Linked DNA regions of Canis lupus familiaris. The protein of the gene in region 2 interacts with the protein of the main gene of each other region in a pairwise test. Links are inferred from orthologs where the notes say so. Each region holds a gene or a part of one and is shown on either strand. Other genes may lie near its edges.

The links. The genes of interacting proteins can lie anywhere in the genome.
Region 1: the proteins of TLE5 (region 2) and NUDT22 interact in binary tests that used the Homo sapiens proteins (3 or more experiments, as listed by UniProt). The two-hybrid records come from large-scale screens. The link is inferred for Canis lupus familiaris from reciprocal best matches to the Homo sapiens genes TLE5 and NUDT22.

What each region holds. Positions count from the first base shown.
Region 1 is NC_049239.1:53,334,736-53,342,279, forward strand, and holds NUDT22 (uridine diphosphate glucose pyrophosphatase NUDT22), read right to left. Parts: upstream 4,229-7,544; 5' UTR 4,150-4,228; exon of another isoform or gene 3,983-4,149; intron 3,881-3,982; 5' UTR 3,863-3,880; coding exon 3,383-3,862; intron 3,019-3,382; coding exon 2,920-3,018; intron 2,438-2,919; coding exon 2,340-2,437; intron 2,201-2,339; coding exon 2,107-2,200; intron 1,820-2,106; coding exon 1,718-1,819; 3' UTR 1,656-1,717; downstream 1-1,655. Other genes in the region: DNAJC4 (dnaJ homolog subfamily C member 4), read right to left, coding at 787-879, 1,614-1,621; FERMT3 (fermitin family homolog 3), read right to left, coding at 6,971-7,150, 7,278-7,419. UniProt on the Homo sapiens protein: Hydrolyzes UDP-glucose to glucose 1-phosphate and UMP and UDP-galactose to galactose 1-phosphate and UMP. Preferred substrate is UDP-glucose.
Region 2 is NC_049241.1:56,591,177-56,597,433, reverse strand, and holds the end of TLE5 (TLE family member 5), read right to left. Parts: intron 6,202-6,257; coding exon 6,138-6,201; intron 4,923-6,137; coding exon 4,878-4,922; intron 4,383-4,877; coding exon 4,320-4,382; intron 2,836-4,319; coding exon 2,761-2,835; intron 2,674-2,760; coding exon 2,452-2,673; 3' UTR 1,550-2,451; downstream 1-1,549. UniProt on the Homo sapiens protein: Transcriptional corepressor. Acts as a dominant repressor towards other family members. Inhibits NF-kappa-B-regulated gene expression. May be required for the initiation and maintenance of the differentiated state.

The sequences.
Region 1 (7,544 bases), on a different chromosome or scaffold from region 2:
AAAAAGAAACCAGGAGGTGAGGAAGCTGAGGCTGGTGCCAAGGGAGATCCATCTCCAAATCATCCCTCCCCTTTTGAGTATTTCAAGTATGGGCAGATCAGAACATTTCCATGTGTAGCCCTCAGACCCCTTTAAACAGAAACACCCAGGAAGCTTGTTTAAAAACATTCCTGGGACGCCTGGGTGGCTTAGCAGTTGAGTGTCTGCCTTTGGCTCAGATGTGATCCTGGGATCTGGGAACAAGTCCCACATCGGGCTCCTGCATGGAGCCTGCATCTCCTTCTGCCTAGGTCTCTGCCTCTCTGTGTGTCTCTCATGAATAGATAAATAAAATCTTAACACACACACACACAGATTCCCAAAACCCACTTCATTCCTGCAGATCAGAATCTCCAGAACAAGGCCTAGGAATTTGCATTTTTGTAAGCCACCTCCGCCCCTACACCTCCAGTGAGTTCTGCAGTGATGCTGATGTTCGACGACCACGACCACGACAGTCGTGAAAAGAGCACTGAGTTTGGCTTGGGCTCAAATTCCACTTTTGCCTCTTAACTGGCTGTATGACCTTGAGGGTCGTCTCTTCATCTTTGATCTTGTGTCCTCTATAGTCAAAGTGAGGGTTACCTGAAATAAGCCTGTAAGGCACCTGACACAGAGTAGAGAGATCACAACTATCTTAGTACCTAGGTCCAGGCCTGGAGCTGGGCAGGCCTTCCTCAACGAAAACCCACTGACTGCCGGGGAGGGGGGGGGGTTTCCCCGGGGGTTCCCCGGCCTCCGACTCACCGCTGCCTGGTGGCCGCCGAGAAGAGCCGGGTGGAAGGGCTGCGGGGCCAGAACCGGCACAGGCACAGGGACAGCATGGCGACTGGCAGGCGGCTGATGAAAGGAGGCCACAAAGTGCATTGGGACCAGGATGGGACCACACTTCGAGCACTCCGGGGGGAAAGGGAAGGGCCTGGCTCCTTTTACTAGCGTCGGCAAACGGAACCAGCTTTAGAGGACCCAGGGGCGGTGAGGCCTCCTTCACTCAGGCCCAGACCCCAGTGACCTGGACTTGCCCCTGCCGCTAGCCCGGGGGTCCGGATCGCTTCCCCCACTGGTCTTGGTGTCCCAGACAACCAGTCCCAGACGTCGGGACCCCCTCTCCACCCTGGGAGTTTGGCGGCGGGGGAAGGAGGGGCCTGCCAGGCCCCGCCCCCTACGCCTATGCGAGCCCCGCCCCCGCGCTCTCATTGGCTTAGACGCCCAAGCTACACCCACCGAATCGGAAGGCCCGGAAGTGCGTCAAAGGCCACACCCCCGCACGCCCATTGGCCTTTGGCGCCTCGGGCCCACCCAACGACGTGGAGGCCCGCGGAGCCTCAGGCTCCCGCTCGCGAAACTGGAGGGATGTTGCCCCGCCCACCCAGCGTCCGGCGCGGTCTCCGGCAGGGATGTTACTGGGCTTTCCAGCGAGACATCTTTCATAAAGCAGCTTCCACCTCATGGGAAGCTCGGGCCCTCACCACAGCGGGGCAAGGGGGCGCGGTCCTCACCCCAGTTTGCAGAGGGGAAAACTGAGGCTGGGTGGTGGGGGTTGTTTCCCAAGACACTTATCCAGTCTCACCCACCGGTCCATCTCTGTCTCACGGAACCAGCAGATGCCAACGGAATCCAAGAATAAAGTCCTTTATTGTCTTCCAGGTTGTGCTAGGGTTGGGGGCCCTAGGATGACTCAGGCGGGACTTCCCTGGACTTGGTTGTAGAGGAAGATAGCGCCTTTGGCCGAGGGGCAGAGCTCAGCCCACAGTTTGGTCTCCTGCAACCTCTGCACTCTCTGCGGGAGAAAGTAAGATCCCTGACATCCAGCCCTCAGGTCTCTTGCGGGAGCTGTGCCCAGTGTTCCTGAGCCTCAGATCCCTCTGCACTTCACCGTCCCTAGGTGAAGAGGCTCCTGGCTTCTTGGGCTGAGGGCATCCTCAAGGAGGCCTTGTGGCTCTGGAGGAAAGCTCTAAGAGATTTAGCAGCCCTATCTGACCCAGCCCCAGGGAGGTAGACATGCATCACCAGGCCTGTGCATCATCAGCTCCTTGTCCAAGCAAGATACACTCTGGCACTAAACACCTGTATCTCCACAAAGATGATTCCCGTCGACTCGTGGGCCTCAGCTCCCCCACTGGTGTAGAACTTCTTTACCTGCTCAGAAGTCAGGCTGCACCTGGAAAAGGACAGGAGAGTGGCTTGGGAGAGTGCCTGGCCCTTGGAATGTCCTCATGGAATCCCAGCTGTCTCAGCCATTCCCCTGAAGCACCCGCCTACCCCAGGACCCAGGACCCTGTAGCCCAGAGCTCACTCACTGGACATAGAACTCGGCACTGGCACGGCCGGCACTGGTCTCATTGCAGGCAATGCCCAACAGCAGCGGCTGGCTCAGGGTGGGCAGTGGCACGTTCACCTGGTTGGTGCAGGGGGTCCACCTGTCAGTGCCCGTGGCCCACATCCCTGCCCCTCTCAGTGGAGAACATTACCCTTGTACAGCATTTTATAGTTTGTAGTTCAAGCGTCCAGAGTCACAAAATGTCAGATCTTGGGCATGTTCATATTACAGATGAGAAAGCAGAGACCAAACAATTTGCTCAGGGTCACCCAAGGGAAGGCCAAAGTAACTAAGACTCTCATTTACAGCTCTTTTCAACAAACAGGGGAAGGATAGAGGGGTAGTAGACAAGACATTTATTACTCCCATTTTAAAAAGGAAGAGCTTGGGGGCACACAGATATATGAGGGCTAGGATTCCCCTTATGCCTAGCTGTAAAGCCAAGCCCTTCCCCCAATGCCAGATGCCTGCAGACCCTCCTGCCAGGCCACACCTGTGGAATTCTGGCATGTTGTACCCCCTCCCTTCTTGCCCAATTGTCTGGGCCACCCCTCACTCACCTCATCGCAGATCTCTTGGAGGACACTGGAGAAGAGCTCATGCACTACCAGCTCCCCAGGGAGGTCCTTGTGCAGGGGGCTGTCACCAGGGCACACGGCCTAGGAGAGGTCAGGCTCAGCCCCTGCTCTCCGTCTCTTCCCACCCTGCTTCCCCCCATATTTGCTGGCCCTGAGGGCCTGGTTAGGCACAGAGTAAGAGTCTCGGTGATCCCCTGACCCAGGCCCACCATTTTAATATGGACCACCAGAGATCCAGCTAGTCCTCTGCTCCCCACCCCACCCCCATCATTCCCTAGCTTCCCACAGGTCTGAATCAGAGGTCAGTGGGGAGGGTGAGGTGCTGCCCGGAGCAGTCTTTCAGAGAAGCACCAGGCCAACCCCAAACGCCCTCCTCCCTTTAAGGGATTAGGAAAGCAAAGCTGAGCTGAGCCTTTGTGCCTTTGCACCCAGCCTGGCATCTCACCTGAGGCTCAGGGTGCCCACCAGGCACATCCACCAGCCCAGGTGCCTCGGCCACTTGCCGAGACCGACGCAGGAAGACCAGGAAGTTATCTGCAGTGGCCAGTGTGGCACCAACCCCCAGCGGATCCGCCAGGTAGGCTTGTTTGTCACCCCAGTCAGTGGCCCCCTGCTGTCGCAGCCAGGCAGCTGAGCTGGCCCAGTTAGTGCCCAGGAAGTCCCGGTAGGAAGTGAGGCCCAGGCGCAGGAGCAGCCGTGGCCCCTGTGAGCCAGTGGGAGCCAAGGTGGCTGAATGCAGGCGGAACTTGGGGGCGTCAAAGAGCCAGGGCTGAGCCTGCAGGCGGCTCTCCCAGATGGCGGCGATGGCCTCGTCCCCTCCTGGCAGTGGGCGCCGGTCATGGTCTGGGCTCAGCTCAGCCCGCACCTGCTCCTCTGGCAGCCCCCCCGGCGGGCACTGCAGCAGCACGGACACTTCGGGGTCCATGGTCTGGACAGGGCAGCTCTGGGGGAGGACACAGCCGGGCCTGTCACCCCGAGCGCCCCAGGGCGACCCTTGGGCCCGGCAGTTGGGCGCCTCCGCCGCAGACCTCCTTAGGGCACCCCCGTGACCACGCTCTGGGCAGGAGCGTGTCTTATAAGGCCCTGCGAGAGCCCCGAGATTCCCGCCGCCGGCCAGCCCTGGGAATCCCGCGCATCTCCTCCACCCAGAGGTGCTGAGTCCGGTCACCCCTCCGTGTCCACTTCCCCCAGACCCAGGGTCCTGCCACCAACCCTGAGGCGCCGGGAGCCCGCGCAGGACCCGGAAGCTCCAAGCTGCAGCCGGTTCTCGGCCCCGCCCCCGCGCAGGCCCCGCCCCTTCCCCGAGGCGGAAGTGCCCGGCCCCGCCCTCGGCTTCCCATTGGCCGCTCCCTGCGCCTCCGCGGTCCCCGGCTGCCGCCCGCCCGCGCCGTCTGACCTTGGGGCCCGGGGCTCCCCCCGCCCGGTCAGCCGGGACGCTCCGCCGCCTTGCGGGGCTGCAGGCTTCCCTGGGATTCGCGAGGGACACGGTGTGACCTTGGGCCAATCTTGCTCCCTGGGCCTCAGCTTCCCCATCTGCACTAGGGAGTTGGGGATGGGTGGGAAGTGAGTTTAAGGAGCTGAATAGCCCCTTCGCAGCTCACTGGTCCTTCGTGACTTGCTGGGCTGGGTGGGGACAGGAGAGGGTCCTCGACAGTCCCCGCCCATCACTGTTCCCCTCAGGTCTTAGCCATGAGCTCCCTTGGAGGAAGGAGGCCGGAAACCACAGGACCCCGGAGTCGAAGGGCTCACAGGCCTCACAGGCCCCGGGAAGAGGTGTGCCCACCCCATCCTAATCCCCACTTTCTTGGTGGTAATTGGAGGAGGACTTTATGCCCTAACTCTCTGGAATATGCTGGTGGGTGGGAATGGGGGCTGATGCGTCACACACTCTCTTCCCAGAAAGTGGGGATTCCTTTCCCTGTGGCCTCCCTCTGCAGCAGGTCACCCAGAGTGCAGGGTGGGCAGCAGGGCAGCATCACTACAGGGACCAGGGGTCACCTCTGGGCTCTTACAGGACCGAGATGTACAGCTGTCCAAGGCTTTGTCCTATGCCCTGCGTCACGGGGCTCTGAAGCTGGGGCTTCCCATGAGGGCTGGTAAGTGAGAGTCTTGAAGACTGAGGTGAGTGGTTGGAGATGAGGGAGCAGTGTGAGCCTATCTGTGACTGCCTGACCCATGGCCCTATGGGGACAGCACAGAGGGCACATCCCCTCCACGTGCAAGGAACACCGAGGCCCAGAGCCCGATATCCTGTCTAGAGCAAACTGGGAGAGGACCTTCCGTCTAGTCCAGGCCCAGCAATACTAATGGTGCATGTGGCCCAGTAAACACCCAAGAGTGGGTACGGGGGTTGGGGGGTGTCAAGGTAACTGGTGTTTATTGAGTCCTTTCTGGGCAGGGTACTATGCTATAGAAGAGTCCCTTATCCTGTGACCCTCCCCAAGCCAGATCCTACTCCCATGTAAGTTAAGGAAAGAGAGGCCCGGAAAGGGGAGACTCTCACAGATAAACCCTAAGCCCAGACTCTGTTCTGGTTACCTGTGGCTCGCCCTATTAACTCTGGCCCAGGCCAGAACAAGTTCAGCTCCTGAGCACCCTGCCTGCCTGCAGATGGCTTCGTGCCCCTGGACACCCTCCTGCAGCTGCCCCAGTTCCACAGCTTCTCTGCTGAAGATGTGCAGCGCGTGGTGGATACCAACCGGAAGCAGCGGTTTGCCCTGCAGCCAGGGGACCCCAGCACTGGCCCTCTCATCCGGGCAAATCAGGGTCACTCCCTGCAGGTGGGAGCTAAGGGGACAAGTGAGAGAACCATGTGGGACCCCTCCAGGGAGAGGGTCTCACTGCTGTCTGTTCCCCAACCCATCCCAGGTACCGGAGTTGGAGCTGATGCCCCTGGAGACCCCACAGGCCTTGCCTCCCATGCTTGTCCATGGCACATTCTGGCAGCACTGGCCATCCATCCTGCTCAAGGGTCTGTCCTGCCGGGGAAGGACACATATTCACCTGGCCCCAGGACTTCCTGGGGATCCTGGTGTCATCAGTGGTCAGTGGCCCTCCCCAGCTGTTGTCCTACCAGGTCCCTCTCCAAGTATCATAGCTTCTCTCATCTAAGGCCATTCCATGCTCTGCATGCTGTAGTCACCCCATCCCCCCCTGAGCCCAGGACCTTCCACTGAGCCTGCCCAGGTTTGATGACTGCAACTCCACATGCCCCAGGTCCCAGCTCCAATTGTCTCTGCAGGCATGCGACCAAATTGTGAAGTGGCTGTGCTGATTGATGGGCCCCTGGCCCTGGCAGGTGAGTCTGGACACAGCAGGACTGCCCTAGGGCTTCAGAGAGGATAGGAGTTACATCTCTGGCTTTGTCTGCAGATGGAATCCCCTTCTTCCGCTCGGCCAATGGAGTGATCCTGACTCCAGGGAATGCTGATGGCTTCCTGCTTCCCAAGTATTTCAAGGAGGCCCTGCAGCTCCGCCCTTCTCGTGAGAACCACCACCTTACTCCTATTCGGGGTGCCTGAGCCTGTGCCCTCTGCCATCTCCTTCCCAGCTCCCAGCCCCAGGCTGATGGGTCTCCCATTCCTAACCTCTTGTCTCTATCTCAGGAAAGTCCCTCTCCTTGGCTGGTAATGAAGAGACAGAGTGTCAGAGTGGCCCCCAAGCATAGCTCCAGAGGAAGAAGGATAATCCAACAATAAAATATTTATTAAAAAAAAGTTTAAAAGGTAACAAAAAAAGAAGCTCCAGTTTGAAACCATGAATTATCCTCATCCTGTAGTTACAGCTGGTCTTCCTCCTGTGCTCAGGGTATTAGTCTTGGCCACTTAGACAAGGGAAGGGCGGACCTTGTTCGAGCTCATAATCCACTCTCCCTAGCCTAGGGGATGGCAGAGTCTGGCCCAATTAGGTCCCTGGTCTGCATAAAGCCAGTGACAGCAGGTGAATGTGCCAGCTCAGTACATGTCTGGAGAGAGTGTGGGCTTAGGAGTGGCCATAGCAGGCAGTGAGCAAAGTGGGGGCGATCAGACAGGCCTCAGAAGGCCTCATGGCCTCCTGTGAGCTGCAGGAAGAGGTCCTCGTCCAGCTCTTCCCCACGGGCCCGCTCTCGGGTTGACAGGAAAATGTAGCCCCCGATATATTCATGCACGATGCGGCAGCTGGCGGACACACAGCTGAAAGCCACGTTGATATGTTCATCAAACTCGATGGCCACCTGCAGAGCGGGCAGTCAGAGGGGCTGGAGGAGGTGAGATAAGGGAGCAGCCCCCGCGCCCCCCTGCACCCCTGGCTGCGCCTGTCCCGCCCCCGGGAACCTGATCCCACCCTGAGTCCCAGCCCACCTGTCGGATGTCCCAGTTGACATTCCACTGGCGCATATTGCTGAAGCGCCAGGTCTTGACCACGTCGCCTACAGCCAGGTCAATGCGGATCAGCCTGTTGTTGGCGATGCCCAGGATCTCATCCTTCTTGCTGCCCTTGAACCTAGCCCCGGTGGGGCGGGGAGAGAGTGTGAGCAAGACTCCTGCCCTGCATGGCCCCGGAGCCCACCCAGATAGCCTGGCACGGTGCCCGGGAGCAAGCTGGGCACATGTCAGCTAGGTTCCTTG
Region 2 (6,257 bases):
CGCACACACCCGTGTCCTGAGCCCCCCCCCCAGTTAAGAAATGAAACATGGGCAGCCCCGTTAGAAGTCCCCCTGTGGCCCCCCCTGCCAAGGGTAACCCCATGACACCTGCCACTGTAGGTCACCTGGGCTTGACTTTGTTCTTTTTTTTTTTTTTAATATTTTATTTATTCATGAGAGACACACAGAGAGAGGCAGAGACACAGGCAGAGGGAGAAGCAGGCTCCCTGCGGGGGGCCCGATGTGGGACTCGATCCCAGGGCCGAAGGCAGACGCTCCACCGCTGAGCCACCCAGGGATCCCTTGACTTTGTTCTTGGTAGAAATGGGACGTTCGGTATTTACGCGTTTGTACCCGGCTTGCCTTGTTAAAGGGTGCGCGAGATGCGGTGGGCGGTGTCGGCGGAGCCGGGCCTCGCTCTTCTTCGCGGCTGCATCGTGTTCCAGGCACGATTAGGTCACGGCTCGTCTGTTCTGCTGTGGTTTCCAGTCCGGGGAAGCGGTGACTGGGGACAGCAGCTCTGAACGCCCTCGTTCGTGTCTTTGTGGGGGCAGTGGCCCGGCGGTGGTGGCCAGTCTGCCGGGACACAGATCCAGGAGCAGGGGAATCGCGAGGTGGGGCCCAGGTAGCCTTCCAAGTAGCTGTGACAACTGGCGCTGCAAAAGGTTTACGCTCTCCCAGGGTCCTGGGCGAGTTTGGGCTTTTGGCACAAGGATGACTGGTAGGCAGGGAGGGACCCCAGCACGCTGGCATTTCTGGAGGGGCTCCGGCTGCGGTGGTGGACTGCTGGGGCACAGCAGGCGGCTGGTGGGACCATCGGGTCACGCGCCCCCCCTCGGCCTCTCTTTCCTCGGGGACCTGAGCCACTTCCCCAGAGGTAAGCAGTCCACCCCAACCCCCCTCCCTGTGCCCTTGGTCCAACCTGGGAACCCACTGGATTGGGGCAGGTGGGAGTTTCTCGGAGTCCAGAAGTCCCTTGGGTGCCCGGGTCCCTTAGGGTCTGCAATCTACACTGCCCGCCCTGCCTCATCCTCAGCCTTGCCCCGTTCCCTGGGGGGGCAGCCGGAGGCCTCTTGATAGCCTTCCTTGGGGTTCCCCTGGGTGGTCCAGCTGGGGCGTGGCAGGGACGCCTTGGACAGGTCCTCGGAGGGTCTGGTTCAGCTGGGGGGGGGGCGCTGTGTGTTCTCTGATCTGGCCAAATGGGCAGAGTGGGGATGCAGTGGGCGTGGGTCCTGCGGGCTCAAAGTCTGGTGTCTAAGGGAAAAGAATGGCACCGAGGAGCCCTCTGGCCTGGGGATGGGAAGCCGGGTCAGCTCCGCTTCAGGCCCCTGGGCCGGGCTGTGTGACCCAGAGCCTCCAGCTGCCCCTCCGGTCTGGGCATCAGTTCGGGAGACAGACTACAGGGACAGGCCGGACCCCCCACCCCCACGGGGACTCTCCGGATCCGGCCCGTCAGGAGGAGGGAGCTCAGACACGAGGGAAGCCCCCTCCTCCCCTGGGAAGGGGGGCACCGCGGCAGCCCACAACACAGAGGCAGGAACAAGGCAACCAACCTTCTCACATCTTTATTTGAAAGGCACAGCTAAGCCCACCCTCGGTACAGCAGTCTCCCTTCTCTCCGCAGCGATCAAACGACTCTACACAACAAAAGCTGACAAGTCTAAAAGGCTATATACAGACACAGGTGTGGGTGTTGCTTGTTTTTTTAAAACATTTTTCTGTCCTTTTTTTCTTTTTTTTTTTTAAATATCCCTTTTCTTAAAAGACAAGCTAGTGTACTGGAAAAAGGAAAAAAATAAAATAAAAACCAAGACAACTTGAGTACCCTCATCTTTATTGGGGAAGGGGAGAAAGGGAATTCTGGGACGCCCGCCCGCCCCCACCCCTGCGCCTGGCTAGGCTCCCTCTCTCCGCCCCCTCTCCTGCAGGGGAGAGGAGCGGTGGGCGTGGGCTCTGGAACTAGCCTTGCGGAGGAGGAGGGGAGTGAGGGGGGAGGGACGCGGGGTGCCCAGGGCGGGAAGGGGCAGCTAGCGTGGTGTTTGCATGCAGTGCCAGGGTGGGAGGCTGGGGGCGCGCCCTGAGGGGCCCGGCGGGCGCGGGCGGGGAGGTGCGGGGGTGCTGGGCTTCTGGAGGCTCTGCTGTCTTCGGGCCTGGCCTCCCCTGTGCGCCTCCAGGCCTCAGCTTACCTCCCGGGTGGAATGGGCAGGTATTGGCCCACTCCGGCTGCAGGGGGGGCGGGGAGGAGGGGAGAGGGAGGAGGAGGAGGGAGGCTGGAGCCGGGGGTGTGAGAAGCTAGGGGTGGCACACAGGCAGGGCTAGGACCCCAGCAGGCGGCTACCATAAATACTACCGAGTTCAGCCAATCCCGAGCTACACTGTGTCTTGCGCTAAATGTTCCTCTCTCCATGTCTGTGTCCCCTCGCCCCCCCACCCTCCCCACCCCGCCACCCGCTAATCCGACTTCTCGCCGTCATCCTCCTGGTGGGTGTCACCGTCGTGCCCGTTCTTGTCTTCCTTGGAGAGATGGGCCTGGGAGCCCAGCGCAGACAGCGAGAGGAGGCCGGTGCCGGCACTGACGGCGGGCAGCGAGGGTGGCTGCAGCCCCACGGGCAGTGGGGTCAGGGGCAGGGCCAGGGCCTGCAGCTGGGACAGCTGATGGGCTTGGAGCTGCTGCTGCAGGGCAGACGGAGGGAAGCATTAGCTGCCTGGGGCCCCTGCCCACCCAAGGCCCACCCAAGGCCACCCAAAGCCCAGACGTACTCGGATGATGGAGTTCAGCTCGGGAGCGGTGACCTGCTTAGCCCTCTCGATGGCTCCCAAGACCTGCTGCTGGTGCTGGAAGGGGGATGGGGTAGAGACAGAGGAGCCAGGTGCTGTGCCCCGATCTCTGTGCAGGTTTGGGGCACAGAGCCCAAGAGGAGCCACCCTCCCTGCCCCCGAAAAACCCCTCCCTCCAGCCGCTTCTGTTCACCAAGCCCCAGTCTCTTCCTCTGGAAAATGGGGACAAATGACAGATTCAAGAAGACCCAAGGGGATTGGTGCCAGATACTGAAGAAAATGCCATTAGGGGAGTCTGAGAGAAACCCCGGACCATGACCTATTCAATGCCATGTGCAAAGGAGTCAATGAACAGTGCACAACCTGGCCAACCATACAGAGAAGACCTGATCCTAAGAGCCTGCAGCCTGTGCCTCTGAGATCTGCTAATCCAAGATCCTCTCCTTGCACAACTGGGGAAGGCCCAGTGGATTCTGGGTTCAGGGCAATCCCTCCCACACCCGAGCACTCCCTGAAAGTCTGTTTCTCCTGCCAGTTTCCCTTTTTGCCTTGCCTACCAAGAAGTTCCTGTCATGAAAGGAAAGCACAAGTCTAGGTCTATCAGAGCCCCAAGAACCCCCTTCTCTAGGGTTTTCATAGTATCCTTCTGGAATTGTCTCTGGGCAAGCAGGTTACCCAAAGGGCCCCAAGACATGGTCAGGAATCCAAGAGGAAATGATAAATTATGGACAGGAAGCCTGGCAGAGGGCAGGAATGGCTCCGGTGATGGAATGGGCCTCACACCAACGGTCTTAAAACCCCAAAAAGCCGGGATGCCTGGTTGGCTCAATGGTTGAGCATCTGCCATTGGCTCAGGTGGTGACCCTGGGGTCCCAGGGTCGAGTCCCACATTGGGCTCCCCGCAGGGAGCCTGCTTTTCTCTCTGCCTGTGTCTCTCAGGAATAAATAAATAAAATCTTAAAAAACAAAAAACAAAAAGCCAAAGCAAGAGCTCAGTGCGTGGTTCCCCGGGGTGCGTGTCCACGCGTCCCTGCGTTCATGTGCGTGCAGACCTGTGTCTGCAGGTGCGCGTGCGAGCCTCATCTATCTGTGTTGAGCCCGTGCACGCCTGCCTCTGTGTGCACGTGTGTGTGCAAGTGCCCTCCCCGAACATGCGGCCCCTGGTTTCTGGCCTGAGGCGGCCCCCAGGGGCCTGGCACACAGATCTCAGAAGGGAAAAAGGCAGAAGCAAGAAAGGGAAAAAAAAGATCCTTGGTGCAGCCTTTGGCATATCTGACGTCTTCACCCACGAAATGACTCACTCAGGCTGGGAATTCCACAGCAGGGTGAGGCCCCTCCCTGTACTGCCCTGTGCCCCTGGGGTTCCTCCGATCTGCGGATCTTCTGTGTCTGGGAGGTCCAGAGAGGGGAGGCGTGTGCCCTGGGCACCCAGCAGCTGCTGCCCCAGAGGGCCGTGGGCGGGGGTCGGGGTGGGGGGAGGCCCGGGCAAGTTCATGGCCCAACCACCTCCTCCTCCCTTCAGCCCCGGGGGTGCCACTCACCTCTTGGGAAAGGTAGGGTAGGACCTGGGCACAAATCCCATTCAGCCTCTTGACGATCTCGGCCTGCAACACACAGAGGCTTCAGTGCAGGGGAGGCGGCGGGGAGGCGGCAGGGGCAGGTGCAGACCAGCCCCAGTAGCTGGCGGGGTTCCGGCTGAGAGGAGCCCAACTGGGCCCCGGGTCGCATCAGCACCTCAAGCCTATGGGCACCCAGTCGGAGGCAAAGGTGGGCTCTGGGGCCAACCGGGAGTCCAGGCTCGGGGACTGGGTGGCCCTGGGAAGATGCCACCCAGCATGGGGGAGAGGGTGGCCCACAGCACAGTTCTTAGGACATCCCTGATATTGGCCGACCTCAGGGGGCCGGAGGGCGAGGGGCAGTCTGGGGGTTCTCAGTGTGCTGGCGTGTCACCCCCTCCCACAGGAGTCAGCCGGGTGGGGGTGGTAGTTTGGGGGAGGCCGGAGAAAGAACAGGGAGAGGGGTGTGGAAGGTAACAGGATAGGGGGGTAGACCTGGGGGTCACCAAGGGGCGGGCCCACCTGCCTGGGGTGGTGGCCTACCTGCTTGTGCATCTCGATGTTCAAGCCGTAGGACATCTCGTAGTACTGCGTGGTGGGGAGACAGAGAGAGAAATGGGGTGGGCCAAGGATGGGACGCACAGTGTGGGAGGACGAGGGCAGGTGGGGCGCGCATGCGGGAGCAGGGTCTTGGCCCCTCATGGGGCCACTTGCGGGGAGCTGGGGAAGCGTCAGGGCCCCAGCCTGGCCCCAGCCTGGCCCCAGCCTGGCCGGGCTCCCCTGGCTTCTGGAGTAATTATCCAGCCCCCTCTCCAGCACACATACATTCCAGGGCGCCTAATCTTTTATCTTTATGTGTCTTGTCTGCGGGTGGCCCCAGACTCCAGGGAAGTTGGCCTTCCTGGGTATAAATAACCAGGATAAACAAAGCCTGCTGGGTCTGGCTCTGGGGTCAGCAGCACCCCCCTCACGCCCCAGATCTGACCCTGCCTCCTCCCCTCCTCTAAACCCCCTCATGGCTCCCCATCATCCCTGGGGGTGGGGCAGGGGCAGCCAAGTTCATCCCCAGGACTTTCCGTGGTTTCTTCTTCTCTGTCCAGCAAGCTCCTACTCATTCTTCAAGACCCGAGCTGCAGTGCCCCCGCTTGGGGCAGTGAGCCCCCCCTGGGGAATCCCCCAGTCCCCCATAGCTCTCTCTCGCCCCCTCCCTATCCCTCCAGGGCCAGGAGGGTCAGTGCCCAGCCAAGCCTGGGAGAGCTGGGCTCTGGGCTGGGCCAAGGAGGGGGGCTTTTAGATGTAGGGACTGCCACCTGGCGGGGATGGATCCAGGCAGGATCTCAAATGTCAGGCAAAGAATGTAGTGTCACCCCTTCCCTCCCCCTCCCAGGATGTCAGCTTCCTGCCCGCGGCGGCTGCCCCCCCCCTCCTGCTGAAGCTCAGGCAGGGAGGGGTTAACTGCCCGGCCTGTGGGGGCAGGGAGGGATCCGGCCGCTCCCCCAGTCAGTTCCTGGCTTTGGCTTCCACGGCAGCGGCCTCCTCTGCTGCCAAGGACAGCCGGGGGACCTGGCAGGCCCGGGCTGCAACCCGGTGGTTTGGCACCTGGGCCACTGGCTGGGCGGGCGGCCAGGCCAGCGAGGCGGCCTGGGCCAGGCCCTGGGGCCGGCTGAATGGAGCGCGGACCCCGATCCTCGTCCATCCCAAGGAGGTGGCCGGGTGCAGGCAGCTGCCAGGGCGGGTGGAGGAGGGTCCAGGGTCACCCCGCGCCCCCCTGCCCTGCCCGCCGCCCAGGGCCAGCTTACTTACCATCACATAATGACGCTGCATCTCGGACTTCTCGCTGGCCAGCTTGTCACATTCGAGCTTCAGGCTGGAAAAGAACAAGATGGGGGGGTGGGGGTGGACTGAGCCCCCTGTTGTGCAGGG